Regions from separate parts of the Mus musculus genome. Here all the other regions are reported to be linked to region 1. The links are microRNA targets in miRTarBase. Many come from high-throughput screens and were not tested one by one. Region 1 holds a microRNA gene; each other region holds the end of a gene's coding sequence.

The links. The annotated mature microRNA mmu-miR-3082-5p reads GACAGAGUGUGUGUGUCUGUGU and lies in region 1 at 1,684-1,705, opposite strand. An mRNA with a match to its seed (bases 2 to 7 or 8) in the 3' UTR can be bound and repressed. Matches are read on the target gene's strand: a 7mer-m8 pairs with bases 2 to 8, a 7mer-A1 pairs with bases 2 to 7 and ends in A, and an 8mer does both.
Region 2: miRTarBase lists Cyp2e1 as a target of mmu-miR-3082-5p. Seed matches in the 3' UTR shown: 7mer-m8 at 3,395-3,401.
Region 3: the mRNA of Ssr1 is a reported target of mmu-miR-3082-5p. Seed matches in the 3' UTR shown: 7mer-m8 at 2,821-2,827 and 7mer-A1 at 3,900-3,906.
Region 4: the mRNA of Orc4 is a reported target of mmu-miR-3082-5p. The part of its 3' UTR that is shown has no 7-base or 8-base seed match.
Region 5: miRTarBase lists Fam81a as a target of mmu-miR-3082-5p. Seed matches in the 3' UTR shown: 7mer-A1 at 2,528-2,534.
Region 6: miRTarBase lists Psmb11 as a target of mmu-miR-3082-5p. Seed matches in the 3' UTR shown: 7mer-A1 at 592-598.

What each region holds. Positions count from the first base shown.
Region 1 is chr17:25,829,723-25,833,809 of GRCm38, forward strand. Mir3082 (microRNA 3082) reads right to left here and starts at 1,706; the gene lies at 1,643-1,706. Jmjd8 (jumonji domain containing 8) reads left to right here. Exons shown (of 9, transcript NM_028101.5): 5 at 63-131; 6 at 220-339; 7 at 417-484; 8 at 578-712; 9 at 788-2,121. The coding sequence ends at 868. It overlaps Stub1 (STIP1 homology and U-Box containing protein 1), which reads right to left and starts at 3,197. Exons shown (of 7, transcript NM_019719.4): 1 at 2,970-3,197; 2 at 2,324-2,522; 3 at 2,074-2,239; 4 at 1,822-1,909; 5 at 1,587-1,643; 6 at 1,380-1,496; 7 at 912-1,288. The coding sequence starts at 3,131. The coding sequence ends at 1,163.
Region 2 is chr7:140,774,223-140,778,309 of GRCm38, reverse strand. Cyp2e1 (cytochrome P450, family 2, subfamily e, polypeptide 1) reads right to left here. Exons shown (of 9, transcript NM_021282.3): 9 at 3,320-3,752. The coding sequence ends at 3,568. Syce1 (synaptonemal complex central element protein 1) reads left to right here. Exons shown (of 13, transcript NM_001143765.1): 10 at 1; 11 at 65-175; 12 at 312-393; 13 at 578-1,081. The coding sequence ends at 649. Among named protein-coding and RNA genes, the nearest start is that of Syce1, 12 kb to the left of the region's middle.
Region 3 is chr13:37,976,278-37,980,364 of GRCm38, reverse strand. It overlaps Ssr1 (signal sequence receptor, alpha), which reads left to right. Exons shown (of 8, transcript NM_025965.4): 8 at 559-4,087. The coding sequence ends at 626. Among named protein-coding and RNA genes, the nearest start is that of Gm52041, 12 kb to the right of the region's middle.
Region 4 is chr2:48,901,580-48,905,666 of GRCm38, reverse strand. Orc4 (origin recognition complex, subunit 4) reads left to right here. Exons shown (of 14, transcript NM_011958.4): 14 at 68-2,842. The coding sequence ends at 256. Acvr2a (activin receptor IIA) reads right to left here. Exons shown (of 11, transcript NM_007396.4): 11 at 2,403-4,087. Among named protein-coding and RNA genes, the nearest start is that of Orc4, 46 kb to the left of the region's middle.
Region 5 is chr9:70,087,273-70,091,359 of GRCm38, forward strand. It overlaps Fam81a (family with sequence similarity 81, member A), which reads right to left. Exons shown (of 9, transcript NM_029784.2): 9 at 2,038-3,619. The coding sequence ends at 3,495. Among named protein-coding and RNA genes, the nearest start is that of Gm39369, 6.3 kb to the left of the region's middle.
Region 6 is chr14:54,625,955-54,630,041 of GRCm38, reverse strand. It overlaps Psmb11 (proteasome (prosome, macropain) subunit, beta type, 11), which reads right to left. Exons shown (of 1, transcript NM_175204.4): 1 at 486-4,087. The coding sequence ends at 3,807. Among named protein-coding and RNA genes, the nearest start is that of Psmb11, 2.7 kb to the right of the region's middle.

The sequences.
Region 1 (4,087 bases):
GGTTTGCCTTCACATCTCAAAGGCAGAACTGACCAGTCCCGACTGGCTCCCCCTTCTTGTAGTGGACCTGCCCTTCCAGGAATATGTGGAACAGCTGCTGCAGCCCCAGGATCCTGCATCCCTAGGCAATGGTGAGCCAGACCCAGGCAGCGGTGGGAGTGGGGTACTTGGGAGCCCACTGTTGCCAGTACTCCTGCCTATCACCCTCTCTGCTGGCAGACACCCTGTACTTTTTTGGAGACAACAACTTCACTGAGTGGGCATCCCTCTTCCAGCACTACTCTCCGCCACCATTCCGTCTCCTGGGAACCACCCCTGCTTACAGCTTTGGAATTGCAGGTAGGGGCTACTTCAAAACAAACTTGGGGGAGCCCATATATATTTTGTTCATCAGCTATTCATAACTGACCCCACAGGAGCTGGATCTGGGGTACCCTTCCACTGGCATGGGCCTGGTTTCTCAGAGGTTATCTATGGTCGGAAGGTCAGTACAGTGTTATGTGTGTGTTATGTGTGTGTGTAAATCTGGTGTCTATAGTCCATTGCACACATAGTGACCTTACACTCCTGCCTCCAGCGCTGGTTCCTCTACCCTCCTGAGAAGACACCTGAGTTCCACCCTAACAAGACCACATTGGCCTGGCTGCTGGAAATATACCCATCTCTAGCCCTGTCAGCACGGCCTCTAGAATGTACCATCCAGGCTGGTGAAGTCAGTAGCTGGTAGGTGGGGGTTGGGCTAACTCAAAAAGCCATGAATCAAAATTTTTTTTTTCTTTTCTCCCAGGTACTGTATTTTCCTGATCGGTGGTGGCATGCCACACTCAATCTGGACACCAGTGTCTTCATTTCTACCTTCCTTGGCTAGCCAGACAGGCAACTGGCAAGCCCACTGCACCAGCACATGCCAATGTAGTGCTCACAGACTTTATTACAGGACAGTGGCAGCAGCAGCAACCTCAGCCCACCCTCACCCACTCTCCAGCCCAGAAGGGGGACAAGGGAGGCTCATGGTCCAGCAAGGGGTATGCTGAGAAGGGGAGCAGTTCAGAACCCATCAGCAGGGCCGATGGGGGCAGGCCCAGGGACACAAACTATACAGGGACTGGAGCTTCCGTCTCCAGATCCTCCTGGGCCAGGGTGCCAGGCAGGACATGGGGCCTCAATAGTCCTCTACCCAGCCGTTCTCAGAGATGAAAGCGTCAATGACTTCCTTCATGGCCAAGTTGGGGATGAGCTGTTCCTGGGTCAGAGGGCTCCGGGTCACAGGGTCAAAGTGGCCCACACGCTGCAACAGAGTCAAGAGTGTTCAATGGCCTGAGTATACCGATCCGGGTACCAAGGCTCTCCATGGCCCGGTCTCCATGGGCCCTCCTTACCTGCAGGTGCTCCTCAATGTCCTTGCGGTCATAGGTGATACCACTGGGTGTAATGCAGGGTTCCCGCATCAGCTCAAAGCTAATCTTGCCACACAAGTAGTCAGGGATATCTCGCTTCTATAGCACAAGGGGAAAATGTCTAGAACTGGAGGGGGCTGTGGGGGTCACCATACCAGCAGCAGCCGATGAGCTTCCGGGGGTCCTCACCTTTCTTTTCTCGTCCACCTGAGAGAAGAGCTCATCCATATCTGCCATGTATTTATCCTGCAGAGTTGAGTGCCATGTGTGGGCAACTCCTGTCTCCACACAGACACACACACTCTGTCCACCAGGGCACTCATGTCATGCATGGGCCAACAGATCCACCAAAGGCTGGGGCACTTTTCATGCCACACACAAACACACACACAATGACCCACATGTGGACTAGGGGCACCCTCACGTGCTTGGCCTCAATGCAGGCCTGCTGGGCCCGGATGTGGCCATCATCTTCATGACCCTCGTGGTTCCGCTGACACTCCTCCAGTTCCCTGAGGGTTAACCAGAAGCTAGTTGGTGATGGCCCTGACCAGGAAATCACAGAGCCCGCCCCATCTCAGGCCTCTTTCCTCCTGGGCTTCCCATGTACCGGTTGTTGTCCTTCAATAAAAACACTTGTGCTGGTGACTCAGTGTCTGCTGGGGGAGGGACCCACCTCTCTCGCTCAGCAGCAATGAGCCTGGTGAGATATGAATGCAGCTCACTCTCCTGGTGGATGCGCCGTTCCTCGATACTGTTCCAGCGCTTCTTCTTAGCAATGCGAAGGGCACTAGGAATATCATCCCCAAAGTTGAGTCGCTGCTCCTTGGCCAAACTATAGGCTAGGGGAGTGGACACTTTTGGTTACACTTGTCAACAATCCTGGTCCCCCAAGGTGCCCTCAACCTTGCATCTTGTCAGCCCACCTCGCTGCAGATTGGCAATGGCCTCATCATAACTCTCCATCTCCAGCTGGCACTGCCCCAGGAAGAAGTGCGCCTTCACAGACTGCCCGTCCAGCTCCAGGGCTCGCCGGCAGTCAGCAAGTGCCTGTTCAGGCTGCTGCATCTTCAGATAGCACAGGGCCCGGTTAGTGTAGTACACTGCCACAAGTGGGTTCCGAGTCTGGGGACCAAGACCAGGCGTCAAAGAGTGTGGGCTCAGTTGATCCCCTCTCATTTAGCAAGCTGAAAGCCAATGATCTGGTCAATGCTCCAGCTTTGGGGGCCCATGGCTGGAATAGAGGAACTGGAGATTTCCGAATTATCAAGAGCTCTGGATTCTGGCCATGCTTTCTTGCCTCCAACTGCTTTTGAGAGAAATCCCACAACCCCTCTACAAGCTCTGGGCTTGGAAATCTCAAGGGGCAAGAGCTCCTGGTGTCATCCTTAGTCTTACTTAATCAAGCATCCCGCCCGCCAGTTCCCAGTCAAATCAGCCCTAGACTCGGGAACAGCAATCCGGGCACCAGGGGAGCGAGCGAGCCATCGAGTCCAGGCTGCCAGAAACCCTGTCCGGGATCACAAAACTGGGAGGCACATCGGGCCCCGCCCCCGCCCCTCCCGCACTCACGATGGCGCGGCCGTAGCAGGCCGCCGCCTCCGGGTACTTGCGGCCCACGAAGAGCCGGTTTCCCTGCTCCTTGAGCTCTTGCGCACTCGGGCTCTTATCAGGGCTGCCGCCGCCACCAGTGCCCAGCCGCGCGCCGCCCTCCTTTTCCTCCTTGCCCTTCATGGCGCCGCGCGGCACGGCTTGGGCTCCGCGCCCGGCCACCTAGATCTCGCAGCCCGCGCAGCGATCAGCTCCGCCCGGTCGGCGATCCGCCACCGGAACTTCCGGTGTGGGGCGGAGCTGGCATGGGGACACGTGAGCAAAGGCGGAGCCTCGTGGATTGAGCCAGTTCCCTTAGCTCTGAGAAGCTTCCGCCGCGCTCTACAGGCCCCGCCCTACAGTAACCGAGACCTACCCTGCTCAGACCAAGGCTCCGCCCATCGGCGCTCAAGCCCCGCCCTCCGGCCCCAAGCTGGGCGAACGTGGCAGCGGTCATTGAGAAGTGGCCTTCCGAGGGCCGGTCACTAGGCCCGGGTCCTAGCGCACCACCAGGGCACACACGGGCTCACGCGACAGCCTGGGAACGTCTGGACCGCCGGTAGGAAGGCGGAATTGAGGGTAGAAGAGAGGCCCGCAGATCAGACCGCTCTCGAGGGGCTTCCTCGGGAATCGGGAGGAGCTGCCTGCGGCCATTAATGGCTGAGAAACAAGCACGTGACACGCTGACACCGAAGGACCTTCTGCGGTTGCTATAGAAGTAGCTGCGGGTGCACGGCTGGACTCTTGCCCTTCTCGCGGTCATGGGGAGGAGCTTCTTCAAGGGCGGAGCCGGCTGGTTTCCTTGGAGAGCGCCTGCACCAAGACCCTTTGACCCCATGGTCTGTCGTTGAGGCATTTCTAGCCGCTGCTGCATCAGCTGTTGGCCGCTAACACCCCCAACCCCGGACTTGGAGAAGCAGAACTCGGCTTTCTGCTGATCTGGGCGCCGCAGTCAAACTTCGCTGCGTGGTTTCTGCCACTGCCTCGAGTGAGTAGGTAGCATCTTTGCCCAAGTTGGGTGGGGGCTCTAGGAGCTCAAAAAAAGCTATCCCCAGAACCTCCTTGTCACTCTTTGCAGTGGTCCTGGAGGCAGAGGTTTC
Region 2 (4,087 bases), not on the chromosome of region 1:
TGTAAGATGCAGGGTGGGGCAGGAGGAGGAAATGTCTAGCACTGACTTCTTTCCACACTATCAGGCAGATGTTCAAGGATGAGAACAAGAAAGCTGAGGAGTTCCTAGAGGCTGCAGCTCAGCAGCACGAGCAGCTGCAGCAGAGGTGCCACCAGCTACAGCAGAAACGGCAGAGGTAGGCACGGAGCTCCTGTGTCCTCATTTCTCCCAGGAAGGTGAATGGCAGCTGTTTCCCCTGTTCTGCCGGTATGTCTCTTCATATTTTCTTGATTTTTCTGCTTTCATTCTCGTCCTTCACGCTTCCCGGACAGGCTGAAGGAAGAACTGGAAAAGCATGGGGTACAGATCCTTGCTCATAGTACGCAAAACGAAGAAGACAGCTCATGGAGGATGGTAAATCCGGGAACAGAAGGGAAAGGAAAAAAGTGGTATTCTCCAGAGTATAGTCTGTGGAAAGGGCATTCCTCTGAGGAGGCACAGCTGAGGCAGAGGTGTAAACTCATGGTAGCATGGGCACAGAAAGGTAGAAAGGGGTGGTAGGAGCAGGGAAAAATGCCTGGGCCTTTACCTCCCACAGGCCAGTCCTAAACCTGTAGAAGTCCACGAGGAGACAGCCCAAGACCAAGAGCGCCCATCAAGCAGGACCTAATACCCTCCTCAGCCTGGAGGACTTACTGACTTCAGACATCACTTGCGGATGTTTTGTGTAGCCTGCTTCATCTGAGTATGTGCCGAGTGGAAGAATGGGTGTTGGGGCCAAGCCCCTCAAGTCTTTGAACCTGGAGATGTCTTGGCTCAATTTTGAGTTTCACCTAGCTTAGGGTCCACACTGCAGACCCTTAGTAAATGCTTTCCCTGTCTCTTGCTCACCACTAGTATCTGACACACGCTTCTTCTCTTGAGCAGAGGATGCTGATCTGAACCTTCTCACAGGATCTGAAGCCACTTGGTAATTTAGTTCCCTCATGTAGGCCCAGAATAGCATATACTTTGAAACAAAAGGAAGACACATCACCAGCTCTTAATTCTCACTATAAACCACCTCATTCTTCAAGCAAAATAAATGAAATTTAAGTCTGCATGTGGTCTATATTGTGTGTGAGCAATCCCAAACTGTTGCCAGGAACATCTTAAACTAAAAATGCTCTTTTGGTTGGGGAGGACATAAATGGGCAGACCTTCCCCATTCATCTTTGGTTCTATTGGGTCCTTGTTTGGTTGCTATTTGTTTTGTGGTTTTCCTGGTAAGATGCAAATGAATGTATATTTACCTTAAATATGGAAGGGGACAAAAAGGAAAGATTCTGTCAAATCCAGCTCAGTGAATAAATGAGTTAGCAGGGAGATTTACAAGAGCTATCTATATCTTTTAAAATTCTGCCTCAGTCAGGTTCTTTTTTTTTTCTTTTTCATCTTACAGAATTTAGTGGAATGCTAGAAGAGGATTTTGTAAGGGTCTCCTGAGGGTCTTTTGATACTTCCCTTCCATGCAGAAGTGGATGCTAACAGCCCTATTCTTAAAGATCTTGACGTCTGCTCTGTTGCATTGCCATGATTCAGGAACAAAGTTTTCTATAGGTTGCCACAGTTACTGTACTTTCAAGATGGGCATGGGCATGCCAAGCTTGGAGGAAATATGTACACTAAAAGCAATAGTAAGTTCCTTAAGGCCAGACTAATTCTTCTAAAGAACTGTACTCCTGTTTTATTTGTTTCTTTGTTTTGAGACAGAATCTCATTTTTAGTCCTGGCTTGTTTGGAATTTGCTATGTAGACCAGGCTGGCCTCAGACTCACTGAGATCTGTGCCTGCCTTTGCCTCCTGAGTGCTGGGTTTAAAGATGTGTGCCACCATGCCTTTTCTGCAATAGTATTTGTGAAGTTAATGCTACTTCCTCGAAAAGAGAGCCAGGCTTGAACCATCTCAAGCTTTACCACCAAGAGAAGATAGTTGGTGACTCTGCTGACCAGGTGTCGACCTTAGACAGTGGCCAGATGATGCTATAATTAGTTAATGGCCCCTAGAGCTACGTACATCCTATCTTTCTTTTTTTCTTTTTTTCTTTTAGGTATTGATTTCATTTACATTTCCAATGCTATCCCAAAAGTCCCCCCCACGCTCTCCCACCCACTCCCCCACCCACCCACTTCCACTTCTTGGCCCTGATGTTCCCCTGTACTGAGGCAGATAAAGTTTGCACGACCAATGGGCCTCTCTTTCCACCGATGGCCGATAAGGCCATCTTCTGATACATATGCAGCTAGAGACACGAGCTCTGGGGGGGTACTGGGTAGTTCATATTGTTGTTCCACCTATAGGGTTGCAGACCCCTTCAGCTCCTTGGTTACTTTCTCTAGCTCCTCCATTGGGGGCCCTGTGATCCACCCAATAGCTGACTGTGAGCATCTACTTCTTGTGTTTGCTAGGCCCCGGCATAGTCTCACAAGAGACAGCTATATCTGGGTCCTTTCAGCAAAATCTTGCTAGTGTATGCAATGGTGTCAGCGTTTGGAAGCTGATTATGGGAGGGATCCCTGGATATGGCCATCTCTAGATGGTCCATCCTTTCGTCTCAGCTCCAGACTTTGTCTCTGTAACTCCTTCCATGGGTGTTTTGTTCCCAATTCTAAGAAGGGGCAAAGTGTCCACACTTTGGTCTTTGTTCTTCTTGAGTTTCATGTGTTTAGCAAATTGTATCTTCTGTTTTGGGTATCCTAAGTTTCTGGGCTAATATCCACTTATCAGTGAGTACATATTGTGTGAGTTCTTTTGTGATTGGGTTACCTCACTCAGGATTTCTGTAACAGTAATCTATGAAGTTGAAACATTTCTGCCCTAAAGTAAATTCTAAAATGACACTTTTTTTCCCCTCCTGGAAGCAGTCTTGCCATTGTGGAGCTATGATGATCCAAACACCTTCAGTAGGGTCACTGTCGTAGTATCTGTTAATTCTGGGTTTAAGTAGAACCCCAACATAAATCAGCTGGAAAAAGTTGGGTCAGCATAAAGCTGCTCACATTATAGTCCTAGGAACCCAAGAATATGATACCTATATGGTAAAAGAACTTTGAGTATATTGTTAGTTCAGTATCTTGTGATGGGCAGATAACCAGATCATCCATGCATATGCAAGCAAATTATTTTGAGAAGTCAGGGACTGATAGATTAGAAGATGTTATACTACTGGCTGTGAAATGCTATTCACTCACTGGGGAACTTTCACATGGTCAAGGGGACAAGGCTCTCATTAAATCTACAACTAACATAGTTCATCAATATCTTATACTTTTCTGTTTCATTTTATGATAGGAACTCCATATGCTTGGCATTTTTTAAAGACTTATTTATTTATTATATGTAAGTACACTGTAGCTGTCTTCAGACACTCCAGAAGACAGAGTCAGATCTCGATACAGATGGTTGTGAGCCACCATGTGGTTGCTGGGATTTGAACTCCGGACCTTCGGAAGAGCAGTCGGGTGCTCTTACCCACTGAGCCATCTCACCAGCCCGCTTGGCATTTTTTTAAACAGTCATTTTGTAAGGGATAATGATGGGCAGCAGGTCTCATGAACGAGGAATGACACAGAGTTTAAATTCGCGTGGGATACTGCCAAAGCCAATTGTAACAGGGCTGAGGTCGATATCCTTAGGGTCAACCAGAGACTTCAGATTAAAATGCTGCAGAATAGCAGACAAAAGCAGAAACAGTTCCATGCGGGCCAGGCCTTCTCCAACACACACGCGCTTTCCTAGAAGAGACAACAGTGCTGATGAGGTGCTGAGGGAGCAGAGCAGAGCTAACTCGCATAACATTGAGGGCTTGGAGGTGTGGGAGGAGGCTTCAGGCACACCACTGAAACCAGGATTCTCCATCCTTGCCCTTAGTCCCAGAACACCAATGCCCATATGTCAGAGCTCATGAATGTCAGTGACACTGACTTGAACCAGCAACTGACCCCACTCGTTGAGAGCTCCACTGCATAAACAAGTAGTAGTTTAGGGAAATGGACCCAAACTGTATCGTCCATAACTCTAGGAAGCTGGGGCAAGTGAAGCCTATGCAAAACATGGACTGTTAAGATGA
Region 3 (4,087 bases), not on the chromosome of region 1:
TACTGGAGTGGTTTTAGCATTGAGGTACTAATGGCCTTTGTTTGCTTCTCCAGTTAAGTTTGTATAGTTGCCAAAACTTAATGCACCCGCAAAGACTAAATTTTGTGTTTGTGCTGAACATAAATATGCTCCAATTGTATCTTTTAAATATTGTGTGTGTTTTTGAAGAAGAGCCTTGCAGAAGTCCTAATCCTCCTGCTTCCATCTCCCACGTGCTGGGATGTAGACCTCTATGCCTGGGTCTTTTAAAGCATTTCAGAATTCTTACTTGTGCACTTGTGAGCATGTTATTGAATGTGTGTGGTGTCTGCAGCAATACAGCAACCATTGTCCAATCATTTCCTATGTTAGATATGCAAATGTTATTTTAATTGGTATTACCCTAGAAGGATATCTTTAAAGTTCTTTTAAAAAACCAAGAGCTAGGTAAAAGGCATTTGTTATGGGGTGTGGGTGTGTGAGAGGTGGGTGGGTGGGTGGGTGGGTGTGTTGAGTTTAGAGCTGCCTGAGAGGCAAACCTCTCTTGCTTTAACTTGCTCCTTTTTTTTTTTTTTGCAGATAAAGCTTCTCCCAGAAGGCAGCCCCGGAAGCGGGCGCAGAAGCGATCGGTGGGATCTGATGAGTAAATGTTGTGTGTGCCGCAGTGCAGCCTGTGCTTGCCCTGCCCTCGTGTTCTCGGCCTCCTGGGAATGAGTGCAGAGAGGCCACGCCACCATAGACGCCAACTGCTGCTTATGTGTGGACTGAGCAGTCGGAGTCTGTGGCCATACGATTGCTGAAAATGCACTGCATTGCTTTTCTAAAGTAACAAATTTGGGGTTTTTTTTTTTTTTTTTTTTTTAAAAAACCATTAAACTGTGTGGGTGTGGATGTCTGTGAGCAGTTGTCTTACCAGAATCAATGTTAAACTACCTGAAACACACCTTTAGCATACTCAGCAAAACGCTCTCGCCACTTCCCTTATGCTAGTTTCCTGTTTTGACCCCAAGTTCAATTAATATTTTTTTCCCAGTGTGGTTTTAGGTGAATTGTTTTGAGGGAATAATTTGTTTATTTCTTGGAATCGATCAAATCCAAACTGAGGGCACAAGCCGGCCTTCTGCTTGCTGTCTGTCCCAGCTTGTATCTAACTGCACAGCAGGGGTGGCTGCTGTGAGCATCAGAGGCATGCTGGGTAGTTTCTGCTGTCTGCTGTGTGCACCCTTCAGGAACTTAACAATGGAGTCAAGGAATTTTGGAATCACTAGCAACAAAATAGTGAAGCCTGACAATTCTACTGACACTAGTATATAAATCTTAATTCTATGCCTGTTTTTGTTTGGTTTTTAACAAAGAATTGTCTGTCTGTGCAGACTGGACTGTTGGGTTGTCCATTGTCCACGTGGCCTGGGAGCCTCGGGGTGGCCTGGAGCCTCTGGGGTGGCCTCTTTGCTTTGCTTGTTTGTTGTTGGCTTTAAACAGACATTTGTTCTTAGTAGATAGAATTTTAAGAAAAAAATTGTCACGGTCTATAATCCAAGGGATCACATTTTAGGAGCAGGAATACATTTTAATTAACCCTGATCTCCAGAGATCTTAATTGGAAAGCTTTAAAGCGGCTACAAGGTTTATCCTTTGACCCCATCTCTGGGGAGTTTTGAATGCTGACCTACTTTTTTGCCTTTATTAATATGAAAAATTCCCAAACTTCAAGCACTTAAGATTTCAAGACCAAAATTAAGTTGGGTTTGATAAGTTGACTTGAGTCATCCCTGCCTGACCTAGCGACTTCACTTGGCATTGTTGTCACACTTACAAGAAGTTACAGTAATGTTGAATGGGACTTGTAAGAGGCTTCCTTCCCTCTGTCTTTGAAGCCATATTCTGCCTGCGTGTATTATAAGGAAGTGGTAATTTCAGTAGCTTTTCTATTCCTGACCTTTTTCATTCTTGTTTTCTTGTGGTCCAATCCCTTCCACACACAGCTAAAGGAAAGCTACAAAATAAAACACACACAGAAACAAACTTATAAGCTGTTTAACGTGTAAGCCAAAGCCAATAATGATTGAAGGTTTTCTGTGTCTTCTGTAATTGTTAATCACTTTGCAAAAGGGGGTGAAATGTCAAATTGCCTGTATTTGCATTTCTGGACTGTAAACTTTGTATGTAATATAATGTGTGTGGTTTTTAATTGAGCTGTATAATCTGTTTATTTTGAGGCCTACAGAACTGTATGGTTTTTTTACTTAATGTAATATAGGGGACCCTTCTCATTCTCAAAAAAACATTTTCCAAAACCTCTGAATATCTAAATTTGGTAAGCTACTGTAACATACTACAGTAAGGTATAAGTAATTAAAACCTTTAAATGGCCCATAGTGTTTAACTAAAAACCTGATAAAACATGGGGAGGTGGAGGGACTACTACACTTAAAAGCTGCCACGTCGTCATCCCTGAGTAACTGCCTTATAGTCCAGCTCTGTGTGTCTGAGGTCCGAATTAGAGCCTTGGGAGTGTAGGATGTATTACTTCTTAGTGTAGACTGGGAACAGTTGACAACTTGAGTCTTCAGGTGCCAGGCGTCTACTATAGCATCAGTAAGTATTTAGCAGAAACTAACTCCATAATGAATGGAATTCAATTCCACACATGGTTTGTTCAAGCACACTTAATAAGTAGTCTACTTTTAAATGTCTTTTTTTAAAAATGTAAATACTTGGATGAAGCTTTTCTTTGTTTCAATATAGTCATTTACATCATGAACATTGTTTTCAGAATTTATCTTTTGAACAAGTTGGCTTTAGAATCTGTCAAGTGAATGTAAGGATCACGAGTATCAAACTCTGTCACTGGACATTGAGAAGAGTGGACTAAAGCGCGGACCCGCTAGCTCAGGTTGTATGGCTTCATCATTTGGATCATGTGCTGTGTGTAGTAAGGGAGCTGTCCGCCAAAGCTTGGCCTGAGAGGTTTGGAAAGGAGAAGTGAGTGAGGCTCAGTATAAAAGGCTACGGGGGAAGAATCAGGTAGAAATGAGACGTAGCAGTGACGTCAGAAAGTGGAACTTGGTAGGCATCAGCCTGGCATCATCATTAGAGCAGTGAGCACTAGAACACTGAGAGTGGAGGTGGAGGTGTGGTTACGCCCTTCCTGCAGTGTGCAGAGGCCTTCCTGCTCTTGATAGAAAGGACGGTGAGCTTGAGGGTGCATTTGACCCACGACTTTTGTTTGTGTTTATTTGGGGTCTTACAACCTTGAATTCCTTCAGTATGGTGTGAAATCATTACAGTTTAACTCAGAACAGTGTATATGCCCTCATCAAGACTGTGATAGACTAGATCCTTGATTTTTCTTTGAGCTCCAAAATTGTTAGCTTAAATGAAGTAGAGTTAAATTAGGTAGAGTTGAGGTACTTTACTTCCGTGGTGTTGGGTAGCATCGGCAGCCATGTAACGAGTCCGTGAACTTGGCCTGTGTTTCCTAAGTAAATCCTTACTCGGTTCAGAGAGGAGCAGCTGGTTCTCATTTCTTGTTAGCGGTGTGCTTGTATGCTTGTGATGGATGATAGATGCGAGGTTTCGCCTCTGCAAAGTACTTGCTAGGGTGCACAGGACTCAGCAGTTGCAGGTAGCTGAGCAATAGTTGGTTCAGGGCATTAATTGTATTGATGTCTGCTTGGTTCTGTCCCTTTTTCCTTTACACAAAACTAGACTGATTCTCTCTGAAGTGCTGGGAGTCTTTCTGGATTTTAGAATTGGGTGGGAACACACACACTGAGGCTGGGGACCCTGCAGTCAGTCGCCGTTGTAAGAAAGTGGGAAGGGAAGCTGGTTTGTTAAACGTGAGTCCTGAGCTGTGTTCTGCGGTGTCCTCCTATTTATGACTCCTTACAACAGCTCCCTGGGGCAGGCGCGTTGTCCTCTGTACATGGAAAAGAGCCACTGAATTGAAGTGACTTGGAGCCTAACTGTTAAATGTGGCTTCAGAAGTGGCTTTTAAACAAACAAACAAACAAACAAACAAAAAACCTTAGTGTGTTTTCCTTTCACGCATACATCATTTCAGAAATTTTACAAAACCAAGCATTTAGGCAGCTTACAAATCTTT
Region 4 (4,087 bases), not on the chromosome of region 1:
AGCAATAACTATCCTCTGGGTTTAACACGTGTCCCCTTACATCTAAGCTTTGTCTTTTCTCTTGCAGGCATTTGAGCACTTACAACAGTTGGAATTAATAAAACCCGTGGAAAGAACTTCAGTAAATTCTCAGAGAGAATACCAGCTAGTGAAACTACTTTTGGATAATACTCAAATTATGAATGCTCTACAGAAATACTCCAACTGCCCTACAGATGTTAGGCAGTGGGCAACATCCTCACTAAGCTGGCTGTGAAGATTTTAAGTACATTTCTGTGAAGACCTTAAAGTACTGTTCTTTATTTAATAAGATACGCTACTACATTGCTTTGTTTATAAATAGTTTATGGGAAATTTGCACTTAGTATGTTTTGAATAATGACCACGCATGGACACAGTTTCATTAATTTAAATTGCACCACACAAGTAGCAGTTCATAAGAATAAAATGTGCTTATTTTACGCATGGTCCATAAAATGATTTGATACTCTTTTAAAGTGTATGTGGTCCATTAGAAAGGTTAATTCCAACAAAGCATTTAGTTTACAGATCATAATCCTAAGCAGTCAGGAGAGAAATACGAACAGAAATTACATGAGGAATATTCCGGCTAGATTAGGCGCCTGTGGATATTGGAGTTGGGTTGATTTTCCTGAATTGGTTCCTATAGGATCCTCCAATTTTGGATCTTCTACAGATCCCCCAGTGTTCTAGTTTAGTAAACTGGCCCATTTGGGCTGAAGAACTTGTGTGGAAAGAGTCCAAACAACTCATCATTTTCTTCTCTGCATATCTCACCACAATTGTAGGATTTTTTTTTCCATGTACATTCTTTGTATATGTTCAGAAGGGATCAAAATTGCCATCTAACAGGTACCTTAAAGGATTCCTGGGCATCTACTTCCACAACTAATACGTATTCCACAGTGTTGGCTGTTGGCTTCAAAAAAAGGAATTCTCTTAACATGCTATGTTGGTCAGCGTCCACCTCCTAAGCTCATAGGCAAAACTCACAGGTTAAAATGGAATTTAATCTCAGAGATCCTTTGTTCAAGAATATTTGATTGCATATTTAGTTGTAGTAAGATTTTATAAAATACATAATCCTTTGTATGTGCAGTTTGTAAAGTATCTGCAGAATTAAATGCTCTTATTTACAGATCAGAAAACTAACACCAGTGTCAGGATCACAGTATGGGAATGACTGATGTGACCTTGAATGCAGCTTGGTTTGACTGACATTAAAGCCAGTGTTAAAAACTAAAGCTTAGCAACAAATGTTTTACTATTTTTACAGGATACTGTAAGGAATAATTTGACTTTTAAGAAATCTTAAATATAAATTTTCTGTGCATTAATGTAGTACCTCATAGTTAAAACTTTCTTCATTCACAGCCTTTCCCTTTCACAGTAAAACATGCTTAGCTTTCTGTGTCTTTCTTTTAGTCATGATAAAAATGAAGCTGTAATATCAAGGTCATACAAGTATAAACATATATGTCCAATTTTTAAACTACTTCCACCTTACAAGTTGTTCAAAATACATTATTAGATAATTCTAAAGTGAGAAAAATTAGATTCTAAAACACAAATCACAAGAACGTTTGATATTGAAGTGTCTGGCTTTAACATGTGATTCCACAAGAGTAGAAGCAAGAAAGGTATATACTTTTAGGAGCCTAAAAAACATTTCCAAACTAGCCCAAGCTATCTCAACTACAGGAGCGGAGGGGGACGAATGATTGTGAACACAAAGTCTGACTTGAAGATTCTCTGCAATGAAGAGAATTCATTCATTCACTCTGCTCAAGACTCCACTGGGCCAAGAGATGGAAGAACAAACAAAAAGGACTTTCCATGTAGCCTTCCTCCATGTGGCCTAGTGAAACATGGATCTTGTTTAAAAGGCATCTGATTTTATGCAGACACGTGTCTGAAAAATTAAAATCCATTGTCCAAACTTCCATACATTAGGTAACGTCTTATAATGTAAGGACATGGTATCCACTGCCCTAAAGATTTAGACATCCATCACAGACTCTGCAGTGGTGTTTCTACTCCAGTGAGGTACTTTCTACCATGGTGTGCCTTTTGCTGTGAGTGACTTAACAGTGCAGGTTCTTGTTGCCTTCACTGTTAACCCTGAGAGCACATAATCTGATGCATGTGTGACTAAGAATAAGCCTATGGTCATGGGCAAGAAGGGCCAACATAGACACTTGGGTAGAAATACAGTCTGATCAAGCAACGGTGTAAGGAAAAGTCCCTAATTCACAACCTCCTTGATCTTATGACCCTTGAAAACCTCAAGACCGAAGCCTGACCATAAGTTGGAAAGCTCTCATTACCCTCTTTAACAACATAAATTCATAGCTAAAGAAAAACTGCATGTGCAAATAATACCATATTCATTTTTTATTTAACATGGGGATGGAATGGGGATAGCATACATTTTATTTGTACAATATTTAACAATCACTTATTCAAGGTGGGATTTTATGGGGATTTTTTTCATTTTTAGCTTTCTGTTAAATACTTGCAGAAAAAAAAAATAGCAAGTACAATATGACAGTAGTACAACAACCTGTGCCCAAAACACTGACAAGAAATACAGAGTAAAGCTAAAATAATTGTTTACCAATATTTTGAGAGGTAACAAATAGGGAGATACGGGTTGAGACTGCATAAAAAACGTACTGCTGGTTGAATATCTGAGGTAAATGATGTTTAATCAAGATGCTACTTGTATCTTTGTCCATAAATTGTAAATAATTTTATGCACATTATACCAAATCTTCCTAAAAAGTAATTTTTCAAAAAAGTAAAAAAGAGAAACTGGAAAATATCTGATGAAGCATTTTTTTTTAAAAAACAGTAATCATTCTATTCCACTAAACTACCATCTATCTGGTGAGGAGTTTGGTTTTGTTTTGTTTTGTTTTGTTTTTCCCAACCATTTGAATTTTACTTAAATGTGACTTAATTATTAAGGATAAGAAAAAGGGTCAGAAGCGATGTTTTCATAATTGTGTGTGATACATAATTCTGTCTTTAAGTCCAAAGGTGTTTGTTTTTTGTTTTTCCTGGTTATATTTTTAGAATATTACCATGAAAGATAGTGCAAGTTCATGGGACCAATAATTGTGAGGCACAGTCTCTGTTCTGGAATTCACAAGGTACCTGTAATAAACATCCAAACAAGAGTCACAAATCACATGCTAAAACTCCTAGCATCTAAAATACATACAAGATCTGTGCAGGGCATAGATAGACTTCAAATAAATTCAAACACTGGTTACTCCATCAGTCAGTCCTATGGCAGTTGATCATAAAGCATTTCTCACATGGGAGATTTGGGCAAGGTAGAGTAAGAGCAGCAGTTCTGGTGGGTATCAGAAAGGCAAAGTACAAGACATCGTGAGCACCATACACATGAAGATATACAGGGGTCCAAGTTTGCCATCTCCCTAAAAAAAAGTTTTCATTCTTTGATCTTTCTTTTTCAATGTCCCTAACTCAATCTTTTTATCTGCCCATTCTGCACTTACTGTAAACCAAACACTAAAATGCCCTGCAAAAGAAAGTTTTAACAAGACTAGGTATAAGGGCAGGTAGTCACTGGAACATTCTTAACGTTACTGCTTATAAAAAAGGCTTTCTGTTAATGTAGTTCTTAAGAGAATACAAGTTTTAAAATTGATAAGCTAGATTTACATACAATACCCAAGATTTCCTTAAAAAAAAATTTTAGCATAAAGACAAAGCATCTTATATCATGAACCAGTCTTGGTAAAATTTATCTGTAGTGCTTTCTTAAGCCGAACAGTCGTATTATCCCTCATTTATCAGCTTTTAAAGGAGGTTGAATGTTTAAAACCAGTAGTAGTTTGCTTATGGAGAGGAATAATTTCCTTATATGCATATTTTCTTATGGTTTTCCTTGATTAGCTTACAAGTGCAAGCAAACCTATATCAAGAGTTTGAGGGGCCAAATATGTAGAAATCAAAACAATGAACACTGAACTTGGCAACCTTACGAATACAGTGAGACCTTGGGTACAGAGACAACGCACAGTTCTCTATGGTG
Region 5 (4,087 bases), not on the chromosome of region 1:
CTTCTCACCTCCTCCTGGACCCTCCCTCCCTCCAGTTCATGGCTTCCCTCCCCAGATCCTCTGTTCTCCCTAGAACTCTGCAATTCTTGCTATGCTTTTTCTCTGTGTTCAGCTCCTGCCTCTCACACTCTGTTCTCTCTGGTTCTCTGGTCTCTTACGGTCTTCCCTCTCTCACAGAACCCTGGTCCTGTCCGTTCTACTCCTTTCTCTCTGATCTAGATTTTTCCAGATGCCTGTGGCTGGCCTCATCTCATATCCACAACAAAAGCCTTCCCCTTAGCCGAGCCAAGGAGTGGTCTAGTCATCAGTGTATATAAAACCCATAGTGGGAGGAGACAGCTGGCTCCTGCAGGTTTCCTCTGACCTCTGTATGTGCACTGTGGCACCCCCCACATGCATACAATTATGTGTGTATACACACACGATACATAAAATGTAATTTAAAACAATAACAAGCACAGTGCCTCGCCCCTCTAATCCCAGCCCTTGAGAAATAGAGGCAGGGGGATTAGGGGTGCAAGGGCATTCTCATCCACATAGTGAGTTCAAGGTCAATGTCGGCTATGTGAGAATGTCTTTAAAAAAATAAGCGAAATGAGCAAGGATGGTCAGACAGAGGCTGGGGGTGATGGCCTGTCAGATAGAAAAGCCAGGATGCATAATCGGGTGCTTCCTAGAGTCGGGCTTCCTACTTATGAGCAGTAGGATTTGAGGTAAGTTGTGCCATTTTTCCGTGACTGTAAAATGACGGACAATGGTATATACTAGACACTGTTAAACAAAATGAGTGAGCACACAGAAGCATCTCAGCGAGGGGCTGTGGGGATGGTGGGCAGCTAGCATCACTTGATCTTCCAGAGAGCAGGTGTTTAGTTCCTAGCACGCATGTCAAGTGATTCACCACCATCTGTAACTCCAGCTCCAACGGATCCGATGCCCTCTCCTGACCTCCGTGAGCCAATGTTCACGTATGTATCACACGTGCACACACGTATACTCACGCATACACATATGTACACGCACACACCCAATGGGATTTTAAAAAATTTTTAAAAAGAGCCTCAACACAGACTTAAAAAGGTCCTTGGCACATAGCCATCCAGGAACTGCTCACTGGCGCGACTCCAGAGGCAGCCTCGAGAAAATCAAGCAGTACGTCCCCTAAGGCAGCTGGCCTGCCAAGGTTTTCTTCCCACACTCAAAGATTCTTCGCATTTAAAAGTCCCATGCCACACTTATTTGGAAATTTTATTCTCTTTATTGCAAATCTCTGGTAAAGGAAAAGACAGGGCAGCTGATTCTCCTTTAAACTTTGGCGAGAAGAGTACTCCATTGTCTTCGCAGGATGGCTGGCCTCCCCATAGCACACAGAATCGCTGGGGGTGGGGGGGTGGGGGGGATTCGGGATAGGGCTGTGACACATACTGGTTGGTGCTGGTGACTGCCTCCCAGATGCTCTGACTTAATGGGTCAGGAGGTTGTTTGGTGTCAGTTGCTCTTTAAACTCCCCAAGTGACCCCAAGCAGCCAGGGTGGAGGGTCCCTGCCACAGTGTCTTGTCACATGGTCGGCAACGTCTCGAATACCTGGCGGTATCACCAGCAGCTGTGTCACCTGCTTACATCACCTGCTAGGCCAGGGTCAGCAGGTGTCCCCTGTCTCCTCCTCCCAAGTGTCCTGTGTGCTCACCCTTCCCCCTTAGAGTCCCCAGGGGAGAGAGACACTGAGGAGGTGTGGCCCTGTCCTGAGTGAGATTTGTGCTTAATCACTCGATAAAACATGGCTAGCCGAGCACACAGGGAAAGAAGAAACCACACTGTCTGGTCACGAAGCATCGCTGACTTCTCCTAGGTGGGCAGATCCTCCTGCATGGAGACGAAACGATGTGTGGGGAGATGAAGAAATGCAGGATGGGTACATGTTCCTCACATAACCTCTCATGCATCCAAACTCAAATCAAAGTTTTCAAGGTCCCAAGAGTAGAATATTAGGTACTTTAGCAGCATATCTTACATGGGTCAACAGTAAGAGCCAGGTAGAATCTCAGTGTGGTTTATTCTAGAAATAGAAAATGCTTTTGATTTTCCTGAGTCCTTGCACATGAGAGAGGAAAGGAAAGGATGGGGTGTTGTTCTTGGAACTTTTAAATGCTCCTGTTCTCTCTCTCTCTCTCTCTCTCTCTCTCTCTCTCTCTCTCCCTCTCTCTCTCTGTGCCCTCACTTTAACACAGAAGTGCAAATGGCACAGGCTCAAGTCTTCAATGACTCAAACATGGCAACTGAAAATAAAACGCCTGCAAAGGTGCCGGGACACCCGTCTCCTCGCAGTATTACAAATGTAGTCTCGCTTTGCCTCTCTGTCCATACAAAGGTGTGTGCAGCTATTCCATGAAGGATGCTGAGTGCGGCCCACCATGACAGCGATGAAATCATTAGGATGCTTAAAATTACATAGGATCTCAGTCTTACACCACAACCCTGATGTGTTTACCACACTGTCTATTTTGTGGGTAATTTCTTTTTTTTTTTTACAGAGGACAGTACAGCGACGTAAGAAAAAAAACCAAGGCACAAGATAGACAGTTACAACAAATGTCTATAAACCCTAGCACGTAGTGCCTGTTTAGGGAACATTTAGGTAAATCGTAAAGTCTGAAAAATTCTAACATTCATTACAACTGATGAACAATTAGCTGTTCGATAAACAGGTTGCTTAGCCACCATCCCATTATTAAATATATGGCTATCACTACACAGGTTGTGAGTGGTTTCAAAAATAGCTTTAAATAGTAAAAGCCGGTACCCCTAGGTGGATATAAATATCGTGCCTTGTGGGATCTAGATAAACGTTGTAAGTTTCTACTTAATTTATAATCTGTATGGCAATTATCAATTTTAAAAAACTATTTTCATTATATAAATTGCAGGGCTTTTTTTTTTCTCTCCCAGTGTTAAACTTCTTCTCTACAAAAGACAGGTGATTTACAAAAAAAAAAAAAAAAAAAAAACCCAACATTTAAAAAAAAAAAACCATATAGACAACAAAAATACAATCCAGATGTGGACTTAAAGCTGAACTCTACCAGGACTTCTCTTAATGTAGGGTGAGGGGCAATACATACCTGTAGCAACTCATTCACTTTTTAATCAAAAGAAAAATCACCATGGTGGGTTTTTTTTTTTTTTCCAAAATAGTAGTCTTGGCTAGAGCATCAAGCATTGAAAATAAATTCTTTTCATTCATAAAAGCCTTTCAAAATCTGAGGGAATCGGGCTCAACTGCACTTAGGGAAATAACGTTGTAAAAATTGTATTTACGATTTTAAGTAAAGGGTGTTTTCAAGACTGAAGGTAAACGCTTAGACCCATGAGAGCGCATTTCTTGGCACATGCACACCCTGGATGGGATCCGGAACATAGCCACGATGTGGCTGCAGAGCCATCTGGCTCTTAGCCCCACGTGCAGTCTCCTGTCAGGTCCTTGTCCCAGCCGTCTTCACATGGCGGTCTCTGGCTTCTGCATCTGCTGGATCTGCTTCTGAAGTTGGTCCCTGTCCAGCTTCATCTTGGCCTCCAGCACTTGTCTGAGGGACCCTATGCTCTCATAGATGGCTGAGAACCCTTGAGGAAGAGGCAAAGGTCACAGGAGTTAACAGCTAAGAAGCAGTGTCTGACCACCTTCTACAGCAATAGTGCCGATTGGTTCTGACCGATACTGAGCCCTTGGGTCAGTGCTGCATGGGAACCTCCATGAAAATTGTGTTTTAGACGCAAAGGGCTCTACTGCAGTCAAGAAAGACAGTAGATGCAGATTTAACCAAGTGACCAAAGCTCACACCACTATCACCAGGAGAAATCACAGCATGTATCTGCTGATCAGATGGCCGGAGCAGGGCGTCTGTCCATCCCGCCGTTCCAGGTTATATCATAAGAAAGTAATCAAACTGCACCTGGGGAACTTTCTGTAAAACACTGCCCTGTAGTCTAAAAATACCAGGTTCAGGGGCTTCTGTGAGTCAAGAGAGCACCAGGCCTTAGGCCTCCAGTTCCTATGGCCATGGCTCTCAACCTTCCTAGTGCTGGGACCCT
Region 6 (4,087 bases), not on the chromosome of region 1:
GAAGGAAAAAGCCACCATGGGATAGGCTGATCATGAGTACAGCCTTGAGGGCTAGTCTGGTAGAGTAGGCATGTCCCAGGCAGGACGTGGCAAGTGATATCTCCGGGATATTGACAGAAATGTAGACAATAGCTTAGAGGGTTGATATCTGCTCAGCTCTAGTGTTTTTAAGGCTTGTTATAAAGATTTATGTCTATAATTTGGGAAATAAATTCTCTAAAGTGGGGTAAGAGCCCCCCAGGTACTTACAGGGAGGCAGAGCCATGTCTCCATTGCTGGCTCTTTTCTCTGCTGAAGTTGCATTAAGAGTCCTGCATAAGAGCAGGTGTGTGTCCATCCCTCCAGGGTCTTAAGAAACTGAAGATGCAGCAGCCAAAGCAGGACACCAGAGAGATCAGGGTCCTGCGGTCAAGGCAAGGAGGCCCTTTGGTCTCACCCTGATACCTGCGTCAACCTTTAAAAATCATTGGAACAGAGCCGGGCGTGGTAACACACACCTTTAATCCCAGCACTCGGGAGGCAGAGGCAGGTGAATTTCTGAGATCGAGGCCAACCTGGTCTACAAAGTGAGTTCCAGGACAGCCAGGGCTATACAGAGAAACCCTGTCTCGAAAAACAAAACAAAACAAAACAAAAGTACAGCATAAATTAGAAATAGAAAAACTAAGAAGTTGTTATGTGGATAGAGGCTGATTGGCTATAAACTCACAACAAACAGCACCCACATGATGGCTCACAAGCATCTCTGACTCCAGGGGATTTGATATCCTCTTCTGACCTGCAGGCAGCAGGCAAGTATGTGGAACAATACATACATGGAGCAAAATACCCATCCATGCACATGAGTCTAAAAAAAGCATTAAAGCAAAAACACTGAGAGGAACCTGGGGCTGGAGAGGTGACTTAGCATTGACTCTTCCAGAAGGTCCTCCTGTTTGATTCCCTGCCCCCACGTGGTGGATCACAATCATCCAGAACTCTGCTTCCAGGAGACCTGATACCCTCTTCTAACCTCTGTGGGCACCAGGCATGCATGTGACATGCATACATACATACATGCATACATGCATACACTCATATTTAAAGTCAACAACAACAACAAGACAAACATTTCCTCAAACACTGTTTAAATGTTTTCCTGGTTCATGTATTTACACAGTGTATCTTTTTCCTATCCTTTTCCACATGTCAGTCCTGGGGACTAAACTCGTATGTCATCGGGTTTGGTGGCAAGTACCTTTACCTGCAGAGCCATCTCTCAGCCCCTCGAAATTCTTACAGGGTTTGGGGATACAAGCTCATCAGCAAAACCTGTAAGCTTACATATCTCATCACCTGCCAAGAAGAATGAAGATCAAGAATAAGAATAAGATCATGAATAAGACCAAGAATAAGATCATGGAAGGAAGAGAGAGGAGAGAGGAGGAGACGGATGTAGATGCAAGTTCTGCTCTTTCAGGGTTCTAGCCTCCTTGTCCAGTCTGAGAAGAGAGGCACAGAGCATCTCAGGGGATTGAGATGCACAGCAGCCTTTGGCTGGTCCCAGATGTTCATCCCAGGTCCCAGACCATCCCTCTGCCCCTGCCTCTGTTCACTGCCTGAAAGCCTCAGAGTAGACCAGGGTGAGGAGCAGCCATAGGCTCCTATACAGCCCCGCCCCAACCTCCTCTTTTTTGTGGCTCTCCACTGTGCATGATGGCTAGCGCTGGGCTACACAGGCTGCAGCGGCTGCTCTGAGTCAAGTGCTGCTCCTCTCTCTTCCACAGAACAACACCACATGCCTCGCCCACCACACTGAAGTGCAGATGCCTATCTTAACTCATTCCCCGACAGCTGGACATAAGACCCTCATCAATGGCCATGAATCTGAACCCACTTATGCCTGTGCAAAAGTTACCTCTCAGGCTGGAGAGGTGGCTCAGAGGTTAAGAGCACTGCCTGCTCTTCCAGAGGTCCTGAGTTCAAATCCCAGCAACCACACGGTGGCTCACAATCATCTGTAATGGGATCTGATGCCCTCTTCTGGTGTGTTTGAAAACAGGACATTAAAAGAAATAAATCTTAAAAAAAAAAAAAATGACCTCTCCTCATTTGCTTCTTCAGTATCCCTAACCTTTGGATGTCACTCCTGGAGGATCATATCTCTTCCCCAAGGCTAGGAAGTTTGCAGGGGATGAAGGATGCTTTGAAGGCCAATAGCCAGATTTCTACCCTGGCTTGCAAGCCAGACCCCATGTATTGGGAACCTTTCTGTAGCACTCTGGGTTTGGGAGTTTGTTTGTTTCTTGTTTTTTGTAGGGTTGTTTGTTTGTTTGTTTGTTTGTTTGTTTGGCTTGGTTTGGCTTGGCTTGGTTTGGTTTGGTTTGGTTTGGTTTGGTTTGGTTTGGTTTGGTTTGGTTTGGTTTGGTTTGGTTTGGTTTGGTTTTTCAAGACAGGGTTTCTCTGTGTAGCCCTGGCTGTCCTGGAACTCACTCTGTAGACCAGGCTGGCCTCCAACTCAGAAATCCGCCTGCTGCTGCCTACTGAGTGCTGGGATTAAAGTTGTGCATCACCACTGCCCATCCTCCATTTTCTCTGGGCTCCCCAGCTTGCCTTTTGACTCTCCAGAGTTTGGAGAGTCTGGGTAAGAATCTGTAAGTCTAAGTCTGATTTCAAAGAATTCTTAATTCGAAGTGCACACTGTCAAGGAAGGAGAAGCAGTTGTCAGTCTTAGGACTGGAGGCTTCAGGTGAGAGGAAAGTTCTTTGGGTTCCCTTTCTCTGGATGCCCAGCCCTGAGGAGGAGGCAGTGGTGTTCCTGAAGCTGAAATCCTGGACGTCCAGAGCAGGCCAGGAAGGCCAGATGTGCTAGCTGGCACCAGAGGCACAGCACCCTGCCTCTGGTCTTCATTCTCCAGCAGGAGCAACCAGGAGAGGCCGGAGCGAAGAAGCAGGGAGAGATCTGCAGGGTAGAGAGCAGGGATGTGTGTGCTACAGGGCATGGCTCAAACCCTGACCAACACAGCAAGATGAGACCGGGAATGGGCAGCTTCTCTGAGCTCTTCCCTCCAAGCCCATGAGTTCCTTGGAGTTCATTCATCTCCAGACAACAGGCAGGGGTTTGGCCCATTCCCCAGAAGCCTGCAATGCAGGCAGAAAAACAAGGCAAGACAGTGGAGGCTGGGAGGGAAAGATGCAGAGAGCTGGGGAAGGATTAAGAGTGTCTTAAGCCCCACAACATTGTCACCTACTGTAACCTGCGTAAGTCCTGTAACTCTCTAAACCTGACCCAGCTTCAATAAACAATCATGCTTGCAAAAGCTGTCATGGGAACTGCACTCAGTATAGGTGGAATCATTATAGCCATTACAGTCATGGTGGGGGTCAGGGTGTGGAGGGCCAGCAGAGACAAGCCCATCACTAAACTAGGCTCTCTCCTGGCCATTCAGCCTGACCAAGTTGAAAAGGTGACCAGCTGAAAGAGAAAACAAACCAGATAAGGACCAAAATGAGAATACCAACTGGGGTAGAATGACAAAAGAGGGCCCAGCACATAGCATGACAGTTGGCACAAAGTAGGCATGCAATGAGTGTTTGTTTAGTCACTTTAGAGGCAGAAGGAGGCAATACCATCCATCAGGTATCATCAGAACATGTTGGACAGAGACATCAGTAGCTCTGGGAAGCAGAGAGGATGGGAACTTAAACAAAGCAGGAAACCCAAAAGGGCCAGAGCCAGATGCCCGGGGCTGCTCCCAGAACTAACCCTGCCAAGGCAGCTTCATCCCCTAGTCCCTTGTCCTGGCAGTCCCCAAGTTCTGTCCTTTCTTACATTGTTTCAGTCTTCATTATTATCGCGCAGTCTTCTGGCGTCACCTCCTCTTGCTCCACAAAGAGTTCTTTACATTCTCGAGCACCTTGCGGCGTGGCAGGCTCAGGATAGATTCCACAAGCTTTTGCCTCCAGCTCCTGCTCCAAGCTCCGGGCTTTCTGCAGCTCCCTATACAGCACGCAAGCATCACTGCGGGATACATACTCCCATCCGCTCTCCCGAACGTGGAAGAGGTCCACTGAGCCCCCTGAATAAGCATCACGGTGGGTGGCATGGG